Linked DNA regions of Drosophila melanogaster. Changing the gene in region 1 together with any one later gene gives a genetic interaction. Each region holds a gene or a part of one and is shown on either strand. Other genes may lie near its edges.

The links.
Region 2: of Syt4 (region 1) and para, changing one suppresses a phenotype caused by changing the other (phenotypic suppression), as found in Drosophila melanogaster (one study listed by BioGRID).
Region 3: of Syt4 (region 1) and Syx1A, changing one suppresses a phenotype caused by changing the other (phenotypic suppression), as found in Drosophila melanogaster (one study listed by BioGRID).
Region 4: of Syt4 (region 1) and cpx, changing one suppresses a phenotype caused by changing the other (phenotypic suppression), as found in Drosophila melanogaster (one study listed by BioGRID).

Annotation. Positions count from the first base shown.
Region 1 is NT_033777.3:7,264,261-7,271,323, forward strand, and holds Syt4 (synaptotagmin 4), read left to right. Parts: upstream 1-1,804; 5' UTR 1,805-1,928; intron 1,929-2,535; 5' UTR 2,536-2,592; coding exon 2,593-2,635; intron 2,636-3,408; coding exon 3,409-4,595; intron 4,596-4,794; coding exon 4,795-4,869; intron 4,870-4,932; coding exon 4,933-5,052; 3' UTR 5,053-6,549; downstream 6,550-7,063.
Region 2 is NC_004354.4:16,524,373-16,529,073, reverse strand, and holds the start of para (paralytic), read left to right. Parts: upstream 1-1,659; 5' UTR 1,660-1,797; intron 1,798-3,658; exon of another isoform or gene 3,659-3,852; coding exon of another isoform or gene 3,853-4,701. Other genes in the region: Cnx14D (calnexin 14D), read left to right, coding at 3,853-4,701. UniProt on the Drosophila melanogaster protein: Mediates the voltage-dependent sodium ion permeability of excitable membranes.
Region 3 is NT_033777.3:24,101,079-24,107,514, reverse strand, and holds Syx1A (syntaxin 1A), read left to right. Parts: upstream 1-1,751; 5' UTR 1,752-3,071; coding exon 3,072-3,943; coding exon of another isoform or gene 3,944-3,947; exon of another isoform or gene 3,948-5,468; coding exon 5,469-5,487; coding exon of another isoform or gene 5,488-5,717; 3' UTR 5,718-5,915; downstream 5,916-6,436. Other genes in the region: CG10694 (uncharacterized protein), read right to left, coding at 1-66; eIF4EHP (eukaryotic translation initiation factor 4E homologous protein), read left to right, coding at 231-690, 5,469-5,717.
Region 4 is NT_033777.3:4,278,227-4,283,229, forward strand, and holds the start of cpx (complexin), read left to right. Parts: upstream 1-1,994; 5' UTR 1,995-2,130; intron 2,131-2,158; exon of another isoform or gene 2,159-2,596; intron 2,597-3,478; exon of another isoform or gene 3,479-3,777; intron 3,778-3,937; exon of another isoform or gene 3,938-4,256; intron 4,257-4,398; exon of another isoform or gene 4,399-4,447; 5' UTR 4,448-4,608; intron 4,609-5,003. UniProt on the Drosophila melanogaster protein: Positively regulates a late step in synaptic vesicle exocytosis.

The DNA.
Region 1 (7,063 bases):
CGAGATACCTTATTTCCAGGCACACAAATGCGAACTCTTTTTTAATGGGTTCAGGTGTAAATGTGCGAGCATAGGAATTATTTGTTGATTTGTTCAAAAGAAATGTGTAAGTCCTGTGCGTTTTTAGCTCAAAGCTCCTTTGCAAAAGTTAACATTTTGTTGGGAATCACTTTTTTTATTTTGCTACCCTCTTCATGACTGTAATGTTTACTATAATGATTATATATTTTAGAGATTCCGTTGAAATTGTGTATATCAGCTCATTTCATTTAAAAGGAAAGGTGTTACTAATTTGTTGGGGATTTTGATATTTGTCATGACTAATCATTGATTATAAATATTTCTCCTCTGTTTATATTAATAGAAATATCGTTTGAAATAAGAAATAATACTGACTCAAACGTAATTTATGAAAAAAAAGTAGGCTTATTAGCCTGAATATGTCGGTTTCAAAGCTAGCACCAAACGGAAATTGGGATCGAAAGAAATGTGCTCAACATAAATAAGCGCAAGTAGTTTGTCTTTTACAATACGACTCATTCCGTCAAAATGAGGTGGTGGCTAATAAGCGGTGGAATCGGGTGAGAAACCGGGCTAATTTCCTAATACTGCAATGGACGTTTAATGAACTGGCTGGTATCGTAAAACACCTAAATGTGGGCACTTTTTCATTCGAATAATACCCTGGGTAATTGAGCACAAAATCGAACAGATTAGTGGTCAAATGGCAGACAATGGGTGACCGTTTTTGATATGTGTGGAAAAAGAAATATAAACCAGTAACTAAATTAGAAACGTGTCTAGAGCAGAAATCGTGAGGCATACTGTGCTCTGTGCCAGAAAAACAAACGAATCGAATTGGAGCTATTGCAAACAAAGTGCAGTAAATTTATCGCCGTGAGCCATCAGAAGACCGAACAAAATTCCGTTTCTTGGGCTTATGACAATGGCAAATTTCCAGCAGACTTCGGGCCAAAAAGCTGTCCAAATCTTTTGAGATTCCTCAATGCCAGAAACGGACATCGCGAATTTTTGGATTTTGGGGTTGTGCAAAAACCGAAAAGGCAGCAAATAATAGAAATAAAGACGATTGCATCAACTTACGATCGTAGAGTCCGGTGATGTGGTGTCTAGTTTCCTTTTATGCTTTAAATATTGAATTAATTGTTTATTCCTTATAGAAAATGCCTCGGGAAAATTTTTCAATGGCCCGAAGACGACAAAAACGTGTGTGCTATCTGCTGTCAGCAAGTTTTTCTGAGCCGCTTTTTTTTATCACACAAAAACACTGGCAGCGCTGCAAAATCGTTTTTAAGCCCTGACTTCTAGGGTTTTTGTCAGTTACCCGTATTGATCACTGCACTTGGATGGGCTTTCTGTTGGTCTCTTTCTCAACTTGTTCGAACTGCGCGCAGACGCAGACCGTTACCGACTCAGCTTCTGACCAGCAGGCGCCAGTCTTTTTAAACTGACGAAAAGCTCGAACTCAACGAAAGACAGCTTAAAGCTGGCCGCAAAGCTGCGCTCTCTGAAACTTGGTCTGAACCGGGAGCTTTTGAGTGTTTGCAATGAGTAGGTCTAAATTGGTCTAAATTTTACCTTTTTATAACTTTTTATGTATTTTATTACTCAACCCTTTACTCATGAATATGGTCTAGTGTTGTAAAACTTTCTTTAAGCACCCCTGACTTCGGCTAAGACGTCACAGGTTTCTTCAACCACCGCTTTCGGCTAAACAACCCACACAAAAAGCTGCTTGCTCGTGCGCCTGCGCGAGTTTAACGATTTCCCAGCCAAGTTAAGAAGCCACTGGCAAAATAAAGTCGAACGGCTGCAGAACTGCGTTGTTGATTTTTTTTCCACAATTTGTGGATGTGAAAAATATTACAATTTTTGGATATTAATTGTGCAGGACCAGATACAAAAAAGTAAGGCTATAATACATTCAAGCAAGTAAAATGTAGGCGTAAACAGGATTACGAGGAAAACGTAAAAACTATCAAGTGGCTACTATGGCTTTTCCGAGAATCTCTGATGCTGCAATAAACAATAGATACAGATACTGGAAGTGATAGTAAAAGGGAATATTTTCAAAACGTTACGAAGACCTAAATGAAAGAAAGGAACATTTCTAAATGTGGGACTTCCCATTAAAAATGGTTTCCAGAAGTTGAAAAACCTGCAAACTTCGTGTGCGTGTGTGCAAGGGCTGCGATGATTCATGCGACCCTAGAAGAGCACCCAAGTGGCTCATATGTGTGTGTGTGTGTGTGTGTCTCTCCCGCTCTCTTGCCAGAAAGTGTGCCTGAGTGGGTGTCCTCAAGTAATGCAAATAACAACAAAAGCCAAACGTCAGCATAACCTGAGCAGAAAGCAGGCAGCTGCTGCTCACGAAAAAGCCTCTAGCATACATTTGTGCGCAAAATCGAAGCACGCAATTCTTCACGTGCCACCGAAAGTTGCAAACATCCAAAGACAGCCAGCAAAACTTTTCCTCCTCACTTTTAAACCGTGACTAATTGTTATTCCACACAGCCGCCAGGAACATCGAGTGGAAACGTGCTGAGAGCGGCTAAGCCAAATCCATTTAAAATGGCCGAAGAGTATATCCCAGATGCCAGCGTCATGGACACGAGTAAGTACCATACCATATTGCAGCATCCAATGCGACCTTAGTGGTCGATCAGTCCAATTTGCTCATTAGCAACTTGTTCAAAATGTTGCACACAAGTTGTGCCAAACTTTTTCGGTGGCTATGAATAATTAATTCGGGTCTTTGTGCCTGGATTGTCAGGTTTCGAAGGGGATACGTGCACATGTGTTATTTGTTGTGCTCTTTTATTTGGGGTGAAATGTATAAGCTCAAAACGAATTGGCGAAAGTTAATGTTCTAATAACAAAGGAAGTCTACAAACAACTCACAGCTGTGTTAGGGAGAAAAGTTCTTTCTATTTTTTCATTTCGGTGACTAATTACAGAACATATTCAAAAGTGTGATTAAACGTTTTCTTTTGTGTTTTCGGATATTAGTAAAAGATAGAAAATAAAACGCTTTTTGTTATTATTGGATATTTAAATTTAATATTCGGTATTAGATTTATAATGATAAAATGTTCTATATAATTTTCTATTATGTTTTAAATTCTTTTAATTATCCCATTATATAATTTTGAGATTGCATATTGAGCGTCTATATATGTAATCTGGAATGGGGTGCTAGTGCTAGTTAACAGTGGGTTTTTCAAAACTTCCAACACAATACGAGTAAATTTTACTTTTGTTTATGGCTTTAAGGTTACACTAGTGACATTGTCCCATCACCACCTTGCACATATTTCAATCGAAGACAACGTTTTGGGTACAACTAAACTATGCATATGTTGCCTAACATACCTGTTGTCCTTTCAGTTGTCCCCGCCATCCTGGGACTGACTGCGGCTGCTGTCCTCTCGTCAGTGGCCTGCATCTGCGCCCGGCAGATGCGCCTCCGGAACAAGAAACAGAGCCAGCACGACGCCTCGTTCCCCTTCCAGCCGACCCGGCGACCGACCGCCGTTCGATCGCCCAGCGGCCAGCCGCCGCACTACTTGAAGAAGTCGCCCTCGCCGACGGGAGGCAAGCAGATGGGACTGCTGTCGCCGATGCAGGACCAGTCCACCTCCCCGATTGCGCAACCGAATGTCAAGTACAGCGAGGAGGGAGATGGACCCGCCCAGCATGCGGAGCAGCAGAATGGCAATCAACTGACCGTGGTGGATGGTAATGGGTTGAAGCACTCGCTGCACAACAGCCTTCACCACTCGCCGGTAGAGACGATCGCCAACGGAAGTGTGACCATTACCCTGGACGACCATTCGCTGACCAACGGGAAGGAGCTGACCGTGACCGACCAGTACGGCAAGCTGGGTACCATCTATTTTAAGCTGCGCTACTTGGCCGAAAGGAACGCCCTTATGGTGTCCATCATCCGTTGTCGCGGACTCCCCTGCAAGGGAGGATCGAGCGGAACCGGAGATATTCCCACTGGCATGAATGGACGCACTCAGGCGGCAACGGATCCGTATGTCAAGCTGCAGCTGCTGCCGGACAAGCAGCACAAGGTCAAGACCCGGGTGGTGCGAAATACCCGGAACCCGGTTTACGACGAGGACTTCACCTTCTACGGCCTGAACATGAACGACCTGCAGAACATGTCGCTGCACTTTGTCATCCTCAGCTTCGATCGATACTCACGTGACGACGTCATTGGCGAAGTGGTGTGCCCATTGACCTCCATCGAGATCGGGGACATCTCCAAAGAGGCTTTGTCCATCAGCAAAGAGATCCAGCCACGGAGCTTGAAGATTCGAGCCCAGGGTCGCGGGGAGCTGCTCATCTCCCTCTGCTGGCAACCAGCTGCCGGTCGCCTCACCGTCGTCTTGCTGAAGGCCCGAAACTTACCGCGCATGGATGTCACCGGACTGGCCGATCCGTATGTTAAGATATATCTCCTCTACAATGGCCAACGCATCGCCAAGAAGAAGACGCACGTGAAGAAACGAACTCTGAGCCCCGTTTTCAACGAGAGCTTCGCATTCGATATTCCCGCCGCCGAAGTGAGTAATAGTATATTCATTTACTATTTGTTTGTAGTTTAACGAAACACCATATCAATTACCTAGCATAGATTAATTGTTAATTGTTTTCTTGTGTTCGTATAATTATCATAGAACTTAAACATGGACGGACTATTTTTGAAAAGCTTTTATAATAATTTTAAAGAATCATAAGTTAACGTGCATATCTCAATTACAGGGCGCTGGCGCCAGTCTTGAGGGTGTGTCTTTGGAACTGATGCTGCTCGACTGGGATCGCGTGACCAAGAATGAGGTAAGTCGCATGGGATGACCTAATGCCAATAGCTGGATAATTGCACGCTCGATATTTCCACAGGTCATCGGTCGGCTGGAGCTGGGCGGCCCGAACTCGAGCAGCACCGCCTTGAACCACTGGAACGAGGTTTGCAACTCGCCGCGCCGCCAGATCGCCGAGTGGCACAAGCTGAACGAGTAGGGGAGGGGCAGGAACCTCCTGGGCGCAGGCGCCCCTTAATGAGGGGGAAGGGAGCAGGAGCAGGCAACCGAAATGGGAGTCATGTGACCTCGTTGCCACCATGAATTTCTCTTTGGTTTTTGGCATATGATTGCATATTGATTGAGTTTATTTTCTACTTTCTACTTTATATTTCACTTGATTTCTGGGAGATCACTTGCTTTGAGTTTGAAGCAAGATTAATGCGAGATAATTGGCCGTTAACGCCACAAGCAGAAAAGAAATATTTACCAAGCAACCACTAACTAAATTAAATGTATTAGAAAATGTTTAGGACCCTAAAAGTGCATGTAAGTGTAAGATAATTCAGAAACATCTCAATATAGACATGTTTAAATATGAGAATAAGCAAGGCAGGGGAATTCTCAATATATTTTAAACTGACACCGACTTTGTTGCTATATATTCATGTATGATTTTCATATCAAATAGTTGAAGTTATATTTAATGTGCCCACCACTGAAGTTGATTTCCTCAAAAGATATATTATTAACCATACATCTGTATAAAATATTTATGATATCTAACGTTTAAGCATACATATGTCTGTACAATTTAATTTTAATTATTTGAATATTTTAGTTTGATTGTAAAGACCTAAAGTATACCATCGCTTTAATGGATACAAGACATCAAATTTGCACACCCCGGAAGCTCTTAAAGTTTTGTCCAGAACGAAGCAAAGATAGATGCTTACTGCTTAACACTTTATACGTACTCTTAAAAATAAAAACAAATAACTAAAACTAATGAAACAAATAAAACTAAACCAAATTGAATCTAGAGAGAACACGCAGCAGAATGCTTAGCACCAAGAAGCTACAAAACCACACACAAATCGATCGAAAAAGTCAGAAAACATTGATTCGGAGAGGAAACCAACACAATACAATAATGTAAGCAGCATAGTACATGTAGGAATCAATTACCAATAACATACTCTAGAGTATAACCACTCACGAATAGCTCAAACCGAACGCAATAAGCACTACAGGTGTATCTAGCGGCACTACCTTTAAAGGCAACGGATGGAGGAGACCCCGATGAAAGCATAGCTTAACGAAGACACCGAATCATTATCCACTACTGATATTAAGTGTACTGAATACAATTATAAACTATACCAGATCTATATAGACATCAGCCCGCTTCTACGTATATTTTGTAAACTGAGTGTTAGAGCATTAAACTTCATTGAATAACTACGTGCATACAACCATAAGGATATATACAAGCATACATAGCGATTCGCGAGAATCGCAGATACAACTTCAATTCGTGTCCAATCAAAACTTCAATTCGTCTAATGGAAAAACAATAATTACCAATACATATGCAAAGAGTTTGTGCAGAGGAACCCAAATTATATGAGATGTGTATAATTCTACATTATATGTAATTGTAATTGTAAGCTACATCAAATGGTTAATTTCAGTAATAAAAGGTATTATATAAAACAATGTGCACTGCGAATTATTTGCATTAATACGTGTCTTATCAGCTCTCTTAATTCTGTGAGTATACTATAGTTAACAGAGTTTAAAGCACTGATAAGAGGAGATTCTTGCTTATACAAAAGAGTACAGACTAACAGATACCTATTATATCATTGGATTGCACATTTCTGCTTTCCTTACTATTAGATGGGTCGCTTGCCTTGAAGTCTAATACTAAAAACAATAATTGGCAATTGTTTGCCAGATGAAAGTTCCGATCGGCCAGATCAAAGGTTCGAATTATGCTATAGCAAGGTCTGCGATGAGGAGGGTTTTTATGGTGGGTGTTTAAATGGAACTCTAAATTGCGATAGAAAGATCGACTGTTGGGATGGAAGCGATGAAAATAAGTTCGAGTGCTTGCATGATGCAAATCTAAAGAATGAGTACGAAGACCTCAAAGGGAACTGTATGTAAGTTGTATTTGCTATGAAACTCAATTGGTTGAGTTTGAGTATGTTCACGTTAGATGCTGT
Region 2 (4,701 bases), on another chromosome or scaffold:
TGCAATTTTCGGGCAGAGCAGAGCCGTGGAATATCAGCTTGATGACCTAAAAATAGAACAAGTGACCAAAGACAAATAAAAAAATGAGAGTCGGCGATGGCGAATAGTATGTGGCAAATGGCGGAGAATAGCGAAGGGCGAAAGGATAAGCAGCGAAAAACAGGGTGGCAAAGTAGCACAACAAAACCTGTGTTGACAACGACTTGGGTGGTTATATATGGCAAATGCTTTAGGGCGAAAAGGACTTCTCACACACACACAAACACACACACGCGCGAACTGCTTCTGCTCCTTTTCGCGGCAAATTCGGATAAAAGGAAGTCACGGCGAAACGGCGGACAACTGCCTGGTTCGCCCGAAAACGGAGTTACCCAGAGAGGAGGAACTTTTTCAGTGCTCAGTGCTCGACTTTTTTCCGCATCCTTGTGTCCTTTTTCAATACTGCTCTGCGTTTCACGTGCGCGCGAAAATTGCATAAACACAAACAAGCCGCGACTCGCTGCCTCGACATTTTTTTTTACAGTGCATCCAATCCAGTGAGACATTATCCTGCCAATTGAGTGCTCATTTTACGTTTTTTTTTTCGTGTGTCTAAGTGAAAGCCATCAAGTGTGTGAATACAATTTACAAGCCCATTTTAAATATCTATTGAAGAAATATAACAAGTTTAGTAGAAGGAATCAAATAAACTAACGACATAATTCACATAATTGGCACAAGGACAGCAGAAAATCTAACATATAAAAAGAAATAAATATTAAAAAAAATAATTTCAAGCCATTCAAACAATACTAGGGGGTGCTTTTAGTGGGCCATACAAATTATTCGAAATTTTTTCTTCCGATAATATTTTTTTCAATTTTTTTTACATTTCTGTCACCTTTTGTGAATGAGTTTTCCCATCAAATTTTCCAATTTAAGCTGGGTTTCAACAACTTGTTCGCTTTTCCGCAGGCGACGCTGACGAAATTGAAACTAAAACCGAAATAAAATCTGCAAATAATAATAATAATACTATTAGTCATAATACGGAAAACCAATTATAATCATAGCAACAGTTGAGAAACCAAGCCGAGGCAAACTCATTTAAATATCCCAGCCAGGTAGCCAGATACTAGTAGAAATAATACAACAAATAATATTAACATTAACTATAAATAATAAATTGAAACAGCTCTGGGAACAAAACGCAACGTTTGATGAAAATTTCTGGCAACACGTCTTGGTTGTTGTTAAGCACGCAAAAAAATTAAATAAAAAAACCAATTCAAATACCCAATGATAATGCAGATTTAACAAACAAAACCAAAACAAATAAAAGCAAACAAAAATACAAATATAAAAAAAAAACCAAACAAAAAAACCAAAAAACAAAACAAACAACAAATTCATCTTCTACTTGTTCTACCGCTTCAACTTTATTCGTCTTCGTCTCCGTAATATATATATATATATAAAATATACATATATATATATTTATATATATATATATCTATGTATATGTATGCATATGTGTGTGAGTGCGTCGCGTGTGTGTTGGTGCCTGTAAATGTGTGAGCCACAACAACAACAACTACAACAACAGCAGCAGCAGCCAGAGCCACAACCACAACAACAACAACAGTAGTTAACAGCAGCAACAATTCTTAGCAGCAGCAGCAACAACAACAATACAAGCAAGCACGCTCACAACAAAAGCAGCAACAGCAACAACAACCACAATAGCAACTACAGCAACAACAACATCAGCGGATAGAGCGAGCAGCCAGGCACAACATCGATAGACATCGATTAACGGTAGGTAATCGAAGGCAATCGAAAAAATCCATTTAATATGTATTTTATTATCACATTCATTGCACTTTTAATTATGCTAATGATATTTAACCCTAAACAGAGGAAAAAAAATCGTGAAATTTTTTATTTGTTGAGTTTCAACTATTTCCGATACCTTGAATGATTTATTCTTAAGACTAAACGATCTTTCGAGTCTAAAAGAACCACTTTTATGATGAATTCTTACAATTAACACATAGTGGAAATGTATTGAAAATAATTATGTTATCTATGTTAGAGCAAACAGGCTAACAATGTGTTATATTAGAAATTCTCAGCTCTTACTTAACTTACTTCTCAGCTCAAAACAAAGTCATTAATTTACTTTTCATTTTGGTCAAAGAGAACTACATTTTACTGGGTCAATGGTTCAACTTTCATTGAAAGTTTTTAAGAAACCCACATTTGGTATTCCCATCGATTGCAATTTTAATATAGAATACCAAAAAGGGCAATTTACGCTGCACGTCAAATGAGAATTTAGAAAGCAATTGTGTCTTTCGTATGTATTTCAATATTTGAATAGCTAGAAAAGTGTGAACGGAGCAGTGGGCGACTTGATGAACTTGGCTCGATTATGTCATGCCTCCTTGGTGAAAATCCCAGTTAACCAGGCCCGACCTCAAGACCATATCAATGGGGTATCTGCGCCCCTTTTTGTCCCGCCCACTGGCACGCCCCTTTGCTTTTGGGCTACAACCTTTTGCTGGCTTTTGGAGGGCAAACTTTCAGCTGCCACAAAAAAAAAAAAAGAACAGAGCAGAGCAGAGCAGAAAAAAATGAATGATGAAGGTTGAGGGGGGGGGGTGTTTCTAACGGAATTCCTTTGCTCACGCACACATTGAAAGGAGGTTCGTTAAGAGAGAAGGGAACCCAAAAATGTATTGTTGTAGTCCGTGTTTGTTGGCGGCATCACACAGAGAAGTGAGAGCGCAAGAGAGAGGGCACTGGCTCTCTCGGCGCAGGCAGGAGGAGAGTGAGAGTCCTCGCTCTCTCGCCAGCCCATTGCGCTCTCCCATGCAAAATTCATTGACTAACAACATGCTAACTTCGTTCAGTTTTTTGCTGTTTCTGTTTGTTTTTTTTTTTAGTTTTTTAGTCCTTTCCTTGCCATCGAATTTTGTTCAACAATTAATAGGGTAGCAGATATTCTGTGTTATATTGCCAAATCGATACCTTGGGTTGGCTAAGGAAAACGTTTTGCGTTTCGCTCATGTGTTTGTCATGTGTCATTTGCATATTGACACAAATTCCGGCTCGGGTTGTTTTTTATTTCAATTCTTGTTTGCGGTTTTTCGCATGACTCATCGACCCAGCGAATGGCCAAAAATTAATTCGGCAAACAGAATTTTGCGAGTGTCATGAATGGAAACAGACACACATAAATATATGCTCATATTGGCACATCCACTGCCACTCTGTGTGTGTGTGAGAACGCTACCCTATGCTTCATGCCTCCGTGTGTGTGTGAGTGTGGCGAAATATCGAACTGACCTACTTTTATGCTCGATACACACACACACACACACACGCACACACACTGGCGCGCTCACACATACACACACGCAGCCAGATTGGCAAATGGAAAAAGAGTGCTTTGACCTTAGCGGAGGCTGCTTATGTAAGCCCAATATCCGAAGACCGCAGGAACATCCGTAACCGAATCTAGATTCAATTCTCACATTTTCTGTAGTAGCGGTAGAAGGTAGTGTTAGACCGTTTCAAATAAATGAAGTGCTTATAATATTATCTACATTTTAAAAATCATAATCGTATTACCTATTACTAAGCTATCTATGTAAGTCAAATCCAAAATTTATACAAACAAGCAAGCGGCGTCAATAAAGTCATACGCATTAAGGCTCAGTTCAGTCAAGTCAACCACTTTTCACAAAAAATCGTTAAAAATCGTTAATTTCTTCGAACGTCGCTATATTAAAAAAACGCAAGGCTCAATTCAGTCAATCCTTATCTATTCCAACTCTGAGTAAGCGAGCAAGCGAAAAGTGTGTGAAAATGGCTTGGAAAATGCTCTTCGCCATTTTGTTGCTGCTGAGTGCGGCCAAAACCGGCTATTTGGCCCCGGAGTCGGAAAACTCTGTGGAGGATGTGCAGATAGAGCCCGGCGCCATCTATGGCGATGAGAAGTTTGCCTACAAGAGTCCGGTGATCGATGCCGAAAAGTTTTACTTTGCGGATCACTTCGACGACGTGGAGGCATCCCGAAAGAGATGGGTACTGTCGCAGGCCAAGAAGAACGACATCGCCGATGAGATAGCCAAATACGATGGCATCTGGAACTGGGAGTCTCCGCAACGCATCTTTTGGGCAAACGATCTGGGTCTGGTGCTCAAGTCGAAGGCCAAGCATGCGGCCATAGCCGCCCCCTTTCGCCAGCCGTTCGATTTCAAGTCGAACAAGCCGCTGGTGGTGCAGTACGAGCTTACGTTGCAGGAGGGTCAGGACTGTGGCGGCTCGTATCTGAAGCTTTTGTCCGCCGGAAAAGGCACGGAGCAACTAAATCGCTTCAATGACAAGACACCCTATACCATCATGTTTGGTCCGGACAAGTGCGGCAACAATTTGAAAATGCACTTTATATTCCGGCACGTCAATCCATTAAATGGCAACATCACCGAAAAGCACTGCAAAAAGCCAAATGCCCGTTTGGGAGTGCCATTCACGGACAAGCTACCCCATCTCTACCAGCTGGTGGTCCGTCCCGATAACAGCTTTGAGATTCGCTTAGACCACAAGATCATCAAAGAGGGTTCCCTGCTGACCGACTTTGTGCCACCAGTCAACCCACCGGCGGAGATAGATGACCCCAATGACCACAAGCCAGAATCGTGGGATGAGCGGAAG
Region 3 (6,436 bases), about 17 Mb from region 1:
CTCCTGCGATTCGTTCATCTCCAAAGTGATGGTGCGTTGGTCCAGCATGCGTATAGACAGCTTCATCGTTTTTGTTTTGTTAAACTTAATTTGGCTGCGAGAATTTGTGATAGTTATGTGAAAGTGCGGCGGTTGTGTCATTTGGTGAACCAAATGTCAAATTTGATCTACATACAGCCTTTGACATACTAATCAAAATCTATTTTGTGTGTCATGTACTCGCGTTACAGGAAAAACTGGCCAGATATTGTCGACAGCGACGACAGCGATGTGGATAATCAGATAGATGTGGACAACCTGCCACCACTGGAGGTGGGTCCCGGCGAGAACCGGCTGCAGCACACATACTGCCTCTGGTTCTCTCGCAAGGAGACGCAGCGCGCGGCCGCCGACTACAGCAAGTCGCTGCACATGGTCGGCCGGTGCGCCAGCGTGCAGCAGTGGTGGTCGCTCTACTCGCACCTCATCCGGCCCACCGCCCTGAAGCCCTACCGGGAGCTCCTCCTCTTCAAGCAGGGCATCATACCGATGTGGGAGGACCCGGCGAACAGCAAGGGCGGCCAGTGGTTGATACGACTACGCAAGAACAAGGTCGACCGGGCCTGGGAGAACGTTTGTATGGCGATGCTCGGGGAGCAGTTCCTCGTCGGCGACGAGATATGCGGAGTCGTGCTACAGACGAAATATCCGGTGAGTTCCAAAGATCCTATATAATGTCTTATTTGGGGAAACCATGCCAGAATACCTTTCTTAAAAATCGGTATTTTTAGAACCCATAAATATAGCAAACAATAGTAAATATCCTTTACAGGTATATTCTAAACAGATGGCTTAAACTATTTACTTTTCTTACTCGATTAAATCAAATTCGTTAGAAAATTTAATTGTAATAATTTCCTTCCAAGTTTCTATGTGAATTAGCATGTAATTTTCGTAACTTTAAATTTCTAATTGAACGAAGTGAATTTTTAAATATTGCTCCAATAGGACCAGTGTTGGGCAACGTTTCGTAACAGTTCACTACCCTTGGTGTTACTTAATTTTTATATTTATTTATAAATGCCGAGCATATATATTATTGCATTTTGCGGCCTATTCCCCAGTTCCTTTTCAGCTCGCGATTCGCTTTAACAAAAGTGCCGGTCGCGATTCATTCATGAAAATTCTCGCGCATGACGTATCTCAGTGCGAATGGGATCCACAAACAAACCCGTGCTGATTGTTGTTGCTGTTGTGTGGGACTGACGTAATGGAACTTATGTGGCGGCATTTTTAGCACATTTCAATACGCGTTTTGCAAAAGTGAAAAGACGAAAATGCCGGGCAAAAGGGAAAACAGAAACCACTTGCAGTTTGTTTTTTTTTTAACAATCAAACGTATAAGGCTTGCACAATAAAGTCTTGATTACATCAGCAAAATATTATCTTTTCCACGCTTAGCTTTTAAAATGAAGATGAGCAGATATCAATTAAATTATATAAAGAGAAATATCCTGTTCTATAAATAATATAAAATACCAAAATTTATAATATACCAGGAAGAGATTGCAGGAGCTCCAGCTCTTTCTCTTAAGATCCACATCCAAATACATCCACATAATCACTTGATTCGCGAATCATCGAAATTGTGAGAATTGGTTGGTGTCCCCGCTTAGTCCTGTTTTTAGTCTGGTATTTTTAGCTACTCAATGTAGTTATTTAATAGGAAATCATTGCGAACCGGAAGGTATATTCTGGTAGTGACGGCACGGTCACACTCGAAAATTGTTTGCCCGCGCGAGGTGCTGTGTTTCGTTTCGGCTCGCATCGAAATCACACAAAAAAAAACTCTTGGCCGCCGGGAAAATCGCGAAACAATATTTGGTTTTTTGTGAAAAAAATCAAAAAAATATTGTCAACACATTTGCCTCAGATAAATACAAAGAAATGTGCATGTGAAACGATTGGTGACAACAACAAATCGTGGAACCCAGACAACCAGTGTGCGAGAGCGTGATAGGTGGTCGTGCGTCCCTCTCAAACACACACCCTGAATCGGCGCCGACGACGCGTACGCAACAAACGAAAATAAAACGCAAGCGAAAAGGAGAGAGAAAGAACAAATAACGCCCACCGTAACACCCCCCGCGAATAAGAAGAAGCAAAGTAGATAAAGCAGAGAAAGACGAAGAAGCAGCAGCAAAAGCAGACGGCAGAATTGGAGCTTTGCGCAGAAATCGATTTTTTGCCCATTTTAAGAGATTTTCGGTAGCCTCTCCCACTGCCGAAAATCGTTTATTGCCACTGCTGCGTGCGTGTTTGTGTATGTGTGTGCGTGTGCCAGTGCGAAAGTGAAACAAACAAATTCGCCGAGTAAAAGATTAATATTATATGGTACCAGTGTGAGTCACAAATAACAAGAGAGAAAAAAACAGAAAAAAGAAAAATTAATTCAGCAGCAGCTTTAGCTTTTTAGCTGCTGGCATTGAAGAGGTGCTCTGCCGCAGTCGACGTCTCTGCCGCCGCCCGCAACACGAGCTCTCTTTGCCTCTCTCTCCGTCTCTCTTGTGAGCGAAATAACACCACACCAAACGACACACACACGAAAAAAGCATAATAATATTAACCAAAACGCCAGCCAAAGTGCCAGTTAAGTTATAATTATACACTAAAAGTAAACCGAGCAAAGAGAGAGCTGCCAGCCAAAAGCGGAAAATCAATAAAAGGTCTCTCGCAAAAGTGGAAAAACGTGCAAACAAGTTAAAAGCAAGGCTGCAAAAAAAGAAAAAGGAAAAACTCCGCGCGCGTTTACACGTGTGGTTTATGTGTGTGTGCGTGTTTAACGTTTAACTGCTAATCGCAAAAACGCAATCTGCGAAGACCGCGTAACAAAGGCTTACGTAAAGCTTGGCCAAGGGAAAGAGCCAAATAACAACGAAGCATAAAAAACAATATTTAAAAAAATCCAACAAATTTTGAAAACTGCACCGTAAACAAGGATAGTCCCAGAAATTCGAAACTCCCCAATTATCAAATCGAGAATAATCTTCTCGCACACCCTTCAAAAACCAGGATAATACCCCGACACAAAGATGACTAAAGACAGATTAGCCGCTCTCCATGCCGCCCAATCCGATGACGAGGAGGAGACGGAGGTGGCCGTCAATGTGGATGGCCATGATTCCTACATGGACGACTTCTTCGCCCAGGTGGAGGAGATCCGCGGGATGATCGACAAGGTGCAGGATAACGTCGAGGAGGTAAAGAAGAAGCACTCGGCCATCCTGTCCGCCCCACAAACGGACGAGAAGACCAAGCAAGAGCTGGAGGATCTGATGGCCGACATCAAGAAGAATGCCAATCGCGTTCGCGGCAAGCTCAAGGGCATCGAGCAGAACATCGAGCAGGAAGAGCAGCAGAATAAGTCGTCGGCGGATCTGAGAATTCGGAAGACGCAGCACTCGACGTTGTCACGGAAATTCGTCGAAGTGATGACCGAGTACAATCGCACGCAGACCGACTACCGAGAGCGCTGCAAGGGAAGGATACAGCGTCAACTGGAGATTACCGGACGACCGACCAACGACGATGAGCTGGAGAAGATGCTGGAGGAGGGCAACTCGTCTGTGTTCACGCAGGGCATCATCATGGAGACGCAGCAGGCCAAACAGACGCTGGCGGACATTGAGGCCCGCCACCAGGACATCATGAAGCTGGAGACATCGATCAAGGAGCTGCACGACATGTTCATGGACATGGCCATGCTGGTGGAGTCGCAGGGCGAGATGATCGATCGCATTGAGTACCATGTGGAGCACGCTATGGACTATGTGCAGACGGCAACTCAGGACACCAAGAAGGCGCTCAAGTACCAGAGTAAAGCCCGACGAAAGAAGATCATGATACTGATCTGCCTCACTGTGCTGGGCATCTTAGCGGCCTCATATGTTAGCAGTTATTTCATGTAAATCTCGAATGCAATTACTTACACGCCACATTCACTCCACACACACACCTCTCCACACACACACACATTATATATCTCATCCAGACCCGATCTATATACATAGGATGTTGCGCAACCCACCCAGAGAAATTGCAGAAGACAAAATCGAAACTTAAACTGTAAGAGACCGCAACCAGTGAACCCCCGATACAAAAAAAAAAAAGAAATGCACACGAAATTAGGGCTCGATTACACCAATTATAGCTATTATAATATATAGAGAAATCATGTATGGTTAGTAAGCAAGAGTCTCAAGTCCCCAGAGTCTATCCCAAAAACACATGAAACTCAAGTTATAGCTACCAGAATCTTTAGTACTTGTAAACAAATTGCTAATTGAAAATTTATAAAACCAATACGAAGAGAGTTGAAACACAAAAACTACAAGACACGTAATTGCAAACAAAGAAAACATGAAATTTTATTGATTATTGTTATAATGCGAAGCAAAAAAAAAAAACGAGAATTGTAATAAAAAGAAAGGAACAACACTACTCCACTCAAAACACACACAAAACACACTCATTGCAAATGCTTTGCAGGGAAAAGTGAAAGAAAATCTTGTTGATTTCCTCGTCGTTTTTCCGACTTTGAAAATGCATTTAGTTTTTGTTCGTTTAGCTAGTTTAGTTCTCCTGTTGAAAACTCACACAAAAGTAGCCTCATCACTCACACACTCACAACACCGATGAAGAAGAGAAAGATGCAACAAATCTCTAGTTCACTTTTGAATATTTATGATAAAAAGATTGTTTATTATGCGATATAATAACTATATTGACTATTTACTATAATGCTATTTACTTAACATGTTCATATTTATTGAATGCATATGAAATATATAAATTATACAAACACAGCGCATATATATATATACAAATATAAACCTAGATAAATAGCTAACTCGGACATTCTCAATGGAGATGATAATGCGAAACGAAAACATGAGAAGTTGAGGAAGTTGATGATGGAATGCCGATTTTAAAGGGGTAAACAATTCAATCACACTCACATATATAGACAGCTTCAAATTAATCGGCAAACAGTTAAATTTAAAGTTGATTATTCAGTTTTTTTCTTTGTTTTGTTGCGCAAACAATTGAACAAGTTTTTGCGTTTGTTGTTTAATCTACCGGAAAAACTAGTTTCCTTTTGTTGATTTCCGTTTTTTGTAATCGCCAGAAAAGTTAACAGAAATTAATGGATTTCGGTTTCAGCTATGATTTCATTTCTCACACTCACACCGCACCGCACACACACAGTTTGTAATACTTTTTCTTTCTAATTAACCTAATTTATTTTTCCTTTCTTTCCTCCCACCGATCCACATCTGAAAAACTAACAATCGGAATGCAAATTCAAAACTATACTACTCATACATAACATCTGGCATGCGGCTGTAAAATCCAATTTAACAAATAAAATCAAACCAATCAACTCAACTTTTTCTGCACTCACAATGAAAAACGAACAAATCATATAGAATCCAAGCATCCAAGTAGCATGCTCATCAAGGCCTATAATCTGCATTATCTACACACGTTTTGTAGTACAATTCGGAAAATGCAAAATCATTATAGTTACTAATAACAATAAACGCAATGTGTATGAGTTTTTGACAATTATTGTGATTAAGATACACGAAGAAATGCTTTCGCTTCTAAGTAGGAAATGCAAATTTGTTAATGCACCAAACGAACTGGTCACGCGAATTGGTCGATTTCTGTTTTGATCACACGAAATTACCAACTGCAAATGTCAGACCTGCATTACATGCACGTTTATTTCTTATTCAATTCGTTAATTCACCTTTTGATCTTTTGAACGAGCAACGAATAAATGGGAAAATGAAAACCCAAAACTGCAACTACAACAGCAATAGCGCAAATCAGCACGTTTTCACCACAAAAACAAGAGCAACAACAACTGCAAAAAAAAAAAAAAAACACCCAAGTTAACCGAACGCGTTCAGTGAAAAGAAAATCAAAAGAAATATTACTACTTCGTATTATGTCAATCAATCAAACTGCGATTTAATTTTAACCACATAAAAATGCAATCTAAAGGCCCGACAAATTCGAAAAATGATTAAAAATAAACGAAAAACGCGACTCCGCCCTGCCACGCCCTTACGTTCATTGGAAGTTCCAGTCCGGGTTCCAGTGTTCCAGCGCTCCTGACCCGCAGCTTCCAGCGCGAAAAACAGCTGCATTGCTCCATTCCCACACGCTGAGGTGAGTAATACGCTATAATTATTCAACATTTAGCATTCTTTTTATCGGCAATTCCCGCAATTACTCTCTCTACGTTTACGTTTTCCCTCGCGGCGACCATTGAAAAATCGCCGAAGGTCGCGTTTCCATGTCCTTTAAAGTCCCCATCGCCACCCTCCGCCCCTTTTTGAAACACCCACCCGCCCCCTTGAAGTTCCGCCCATTTTCTATTAATGAA
Region 4 (5,003 bases), 3.0 Mb from region 1:
TAATTACGACTAGTAAGTAAAAAGTCCTTGTAACAAAAGAAACTATTCCGCCTTGCAGAGGCGTGTGTGCCAACCTAACGACCCTTTGAGATACGTTTTCTTGTCGGCAATGATTCCGGAATTTCCGGAATTCCGGACAGTTATCTACCCTGCACAATGAGCAACTCATCGACCGCCATGGAGGCATGGGCGCCGGGCCACAGAGATAGGAGTATCTCGATTTCAGTCGAGTCTCGGCTGACATATCAAACACAAAGACTGGCACAAGCACATGCGGAAAATTATCATTTGTCAAAATCACAACATGAAACCGTTTTAAATTTAGCCACTCTGCAGCTAGACGCTAAAGCCGCCGCATCCCTCAGCTTAAGCCCGCACGCCGTCCTGCGGCAGCCGCCTTGTGCTTTTGCAGGCCCGAAATGACAATGTCTGTGGCTGAAGCTGAAACTGGGAAAATTTGAGTTGTCATCTTTGCGAATTCTCATTGATTGAAAACGACCGTACCAACCATCAAGGCGGCAGTTCTGGCTGCTTTGGACGGCGGGTTTTCAATATCATTATTTGTGACGGGGGACTTATAACTTCAATTTACAAATGCCAATTGAAAATACCTAGAAGAAAAGCAATTGTAAATTTCGCGGCGGCGGGGACACGGCCTCAGCAATACCGTTAGTGTGGGCGTGGCAAAAAAATGTTTAGGATGCCGATAGAAATTAGAAAGACATTATAAAATCAAAAAATCTCTACCCAACATTAAAAAGTGCGGGTATGGCAGTTTGGGCGGATTTTGTGCATTAGAGCCGGCGTGGTAAAAAGTATTTCGGCAAATCGATTGCAAAAAAGACTACAACAAAATTAAAAAAATATGAAAACATTTCCAAAAGTTGTGGGCATGGCAGTTTTGGGTGGATGGTGAGCGTTAGATTGGGCGTGACCACATTTAGAATGAATGGAATTTTCATGTCCAATCTCAACTCTTTAACTTTAATAGTTCCTGACTTTGCTGATCACAAATATTTATACTTTACGCTTCCCTTTACCTGTTGCATACTTTTCAACGAAGATAGTACACCATTTAACGAGTATAACAAGTTGTTAAATCATCCGCACTTATTAATTGTGAGCATATTTGTATAATTCCTATAATGGTATAGACATACTGTTGTAATTAATAAACAACAGTCGAAGAACTCTACTACTAATCTACTAATGATACTTTTAATCACCTAAACGTATCAGTCTATGAAAAAAGAAGCCATATAAATTATCGCGGCTGAACTAAATGCTGCTAAAAATGTCCAGGCGAACGGGTCTCCTGGCTGTCATTACCTCTTAAAAAAGCTGGAGCAGTGAGCAAAATGTGGCCAATTTTCCTCACGTCGTCTGATGATACGGGAGGCGAATGTGCGAAATACGCCTGAAAAAAATAATCATAACTGGGCAAATAGGCGATGAAGCAATCCCACTTTCCCATTATGACGTGTATGCTCTAATTAAATAATTTATATAAATTGCCACCGTTACTCCCACGCAAAAACCCGCAGGAATTTCCTGTTCCGCCGCACTCGAGCTTATCCTGCAGGAGCAGGCCCTGGTCGGAATCCCGGCGTATCGACAACCAATTCGGGCATTAGCTGCTATCAATACGCTTCTTCCGGCGGGTGTGTTAAAAAGCAAGGCCCACAAAGGATGTGGTGCTCACATGTTCAGAAATTAGCGGAGGATAATCTGTCACCGGTTCCGCTTCCGAGCAATCCCTGCCCGTACATGGTGCACTTTATTTATCGCAACGCCAGACTACGAGGCTTATGTAAGCGTGCCAGTCAATACTGATGAGGAATGGGAAAGGGGACTCCTTGTCTAGCAGGGCGTGCAAGAACGCCGTCTCCGGCAGAAGGGAAAGTCGTTATTAACCAACAATTCGGCTAAAAGCTTTCGGCCAGCAAGCTTTCGTTTTGTTTGGGGCCAACTGTCAAAACTGACAGCAGTGCTCTCTGCGTTGGGGACTCTCTTCGCGTTTCGGCGGCTGTTGTTACCACAAGAGCTGCTGGCTACCAGTATAACGTTTTCGGCAGTTAATGTAGTTTCGGTCACCAGCAGCAGCACCACCGCCCCAGAGCGAACTTTTCGGTTTGTATACGGGTCCGTGACGAGTGGCAATCAGTGCGATATTGCAGAGTGTAGCGTGCATTGGTGTGGGGAAAGTACCCAAGCCCTGTGGTTCTCCGTGACCGACTGTTTAGGTAGACCCCACGGTCCGCGGTCCGCCCTCCTTCCGCGCAAGTCCCCCACGCCAGCGGTCTAATGGCCAGTGGACTATGTCCCCAGCCTTTAATGCCCTAGTGGCCAGGTCGTGACTATCATACTAAACAATGAGCTTCGCTTTGTCGAGCCATAAGTAATAAGCAATTTGTGGAGGAAAAATTATCTCACGCTGTGCAGCAAGGACTTGCTGGAGTGAACTTCAGTTGTATACGGGCGAGGAAGGCAGCTAACCTCCCATTCAGTGCCAATCCACCAAGCTGTCTGCCAAAACGCTATGAAATTATAATTGATTGAGCGGAAAACAATGACGCCATCTTAGTCGGCCATATTGGTATGAACACTGTCGGATCTGTGTCGCACTAATTAGAAGTCTGGAGTATTCTCCTGCGCCCTTGGCAACCTTGATAGGAGCTCTTGTCACGACATAGACTTTGACCCGACCACTGTCCGATGGCGGACAGATGAGCGGATGTGGCCAGATCTTTGCAATTTCCTCCTTTAAAGCTATGTGCTTCCGGTCCCGTCTTCCTGCTGCCTGGTCAGCACAGTCCGCCCAGCATGTACACACGAATGTGTGCAAACAAACGAGAGTGGCACTGACAAGCCAACAAAGGCCGTTCCAGTGGGTTGAGGGCGCAGCCGAGGGATGCGGTGCAGTTCGGCTGGTTCTCGCTCCGAGTGGTGATAATGGCTCGTAGTCACAGCGAGCGTCTTATCAGTACGGCATAGCCTGATGCTAAATGTTACAGGAACACTAACACGACCGCCACGAATCGATATCGCGTATACGCTATTCGGCGCAGGCGCCATCTCCCAAATGTAGGCAGCGCTTTTGCTGCTGATTTCAAAGTCAAAAAGTCAAGAAATTGAGACCGAGAAAGAGAGCGAAGGAGGAAGAGAGTGAGAGCGAAAGACATTGAGAGGGATAGAGATAGAGGGGAATCGAATTATGTAACAGACAAAAAATAGCAGTCAGATAAATATATTAGAGAGACAGAGAGATAGAGAAAGGGGGCAGGGTAGGGTTCTTTCAGTCCTGGCGGTCCTGCAATCTTGCCGTCAAACGAGTCCCACCCCCACCATTGTTGCCCTTATCTATGTGAGTGCCTGTGGTGCTCGTTTTCTCTCGGCAAGCCGAGCGGGAAAGCACTCAAACCCGAGCCCGAGAATTTTCGGACGGCGCTAAAGCTCGGTCCCTCGAAGCCCGCTATTCACTGGATTTCGGGGCCGCAGCGGCGCGGTCGGCTCCGACGCCACTGCCTCCGCCAACGCTTTGTAAGGCGCTCGCATGCGGAACAGCGGCAACGAGCCACGTTTACCGAGTTTTTCGTGTAGGGTACTCTGGCAGTGGCGTGCAGAAGAGTGCGAACATAGCATGAAGTAAGAAGCGCCGAGAAAACATAGCGACGGTCTAGTGAAAAGTGGCAAGCAAAGCAAAAGTATTAAGCACACACACACTGCCAGTGCGCACGGACACACACAGCACACTCCCGCACCAACACACTAGAGCAAGTGCGTGTACATAGAGGGTTTGTGTGGGGCACATATGTGCCCGCACGATGTCGATACTGGCTCACATTGGTAGTATTTAAAAAGCGACGAACGGCCCGAGCTCGAAAGCACGACTGAAAACCTAAATTGATTAAGCGAATTTGTTCTATCAAGCTAATTCAATTGCTCGGCCAGTTGACTGAGTGATCCACTGCAAGCGCAGCCTTATGTAATCGGAATCAGTGAAAAAAGCGAAACACGGCGGCCGCCAAAGGAATACGACTCCAGGACCCGAGTCAAATCGAATTTGTTTGCTGCGCGTATTACGTAAAGTAAAAATCTTGTTTGCTTGTGGCACCCGCCTCCTCGAACCCCTCCCCACTCAAAAAGGCACTTACGTGCACGCTCCCATAAAAGAAACCCTAATAAAGAAATATCGATAAAAGCAACGAAGCAAGTGGCACGCCAGCACAATAACGACGACGACAAGCGAAACATCGGTAACAATGCGACCCCTGGGGGTGTTGGTGTGTGTGTCTGCTATTTTTAAATTAGCGCCAGTCCTCTAGGTTCGGCTCGACCCCGCCGAACCCTGAAACCCGTAACCCGGGAGCCATATAACCCTGGAAGCCCAGAACTCTGCACTGTGAACAACTAAACGACGCCTTCTGTGTCTCTGTTTGTCTTTCAGGAAGCCTATCTGCCTAATGCACGCTCTTCACAGTGGATTTCCTTAGAACAAACACATTTCGCGCAGACTAGTCGGAACTTTGCTCCTCATCAACCAAGTCCACGCACTCACAGGAATCTTCAAGCAAAATCTGAAAGGAATACTTGCTGAACTAAGGCCAGGTATGTGGGTGGTCCATCAACCTAAAAAGTGTCGAAAGTATGCCCCAAGTATGCTCCAAACTTGCTCGCACTTTATTTCAAATATTTGTGCAAAGTGTTCGTCCGCATCCTGCACATTTTACGCGTAGATTGCTCGAAGGCAGCAAAAAGTTCCAAGCTCATTACGCAATCGTTCGAGTCCTCAAAATAATGCGAAGACTATCCAAAGACGAAACGATCGCAGTGCTCCATAGCTGCTTCGCCTGAGGCGTATACATGATATACTTGAGGTATACTTACCCTTTTATGGCCAAGGCCAAATGCTTAGGAGCGTGGGTGCAGCGTTGGGTCGGAGTCACACACAGCTTATTTGCGTATTTATTGGCTTTGGTTTTCTGACTGGATCCCGTATTAGA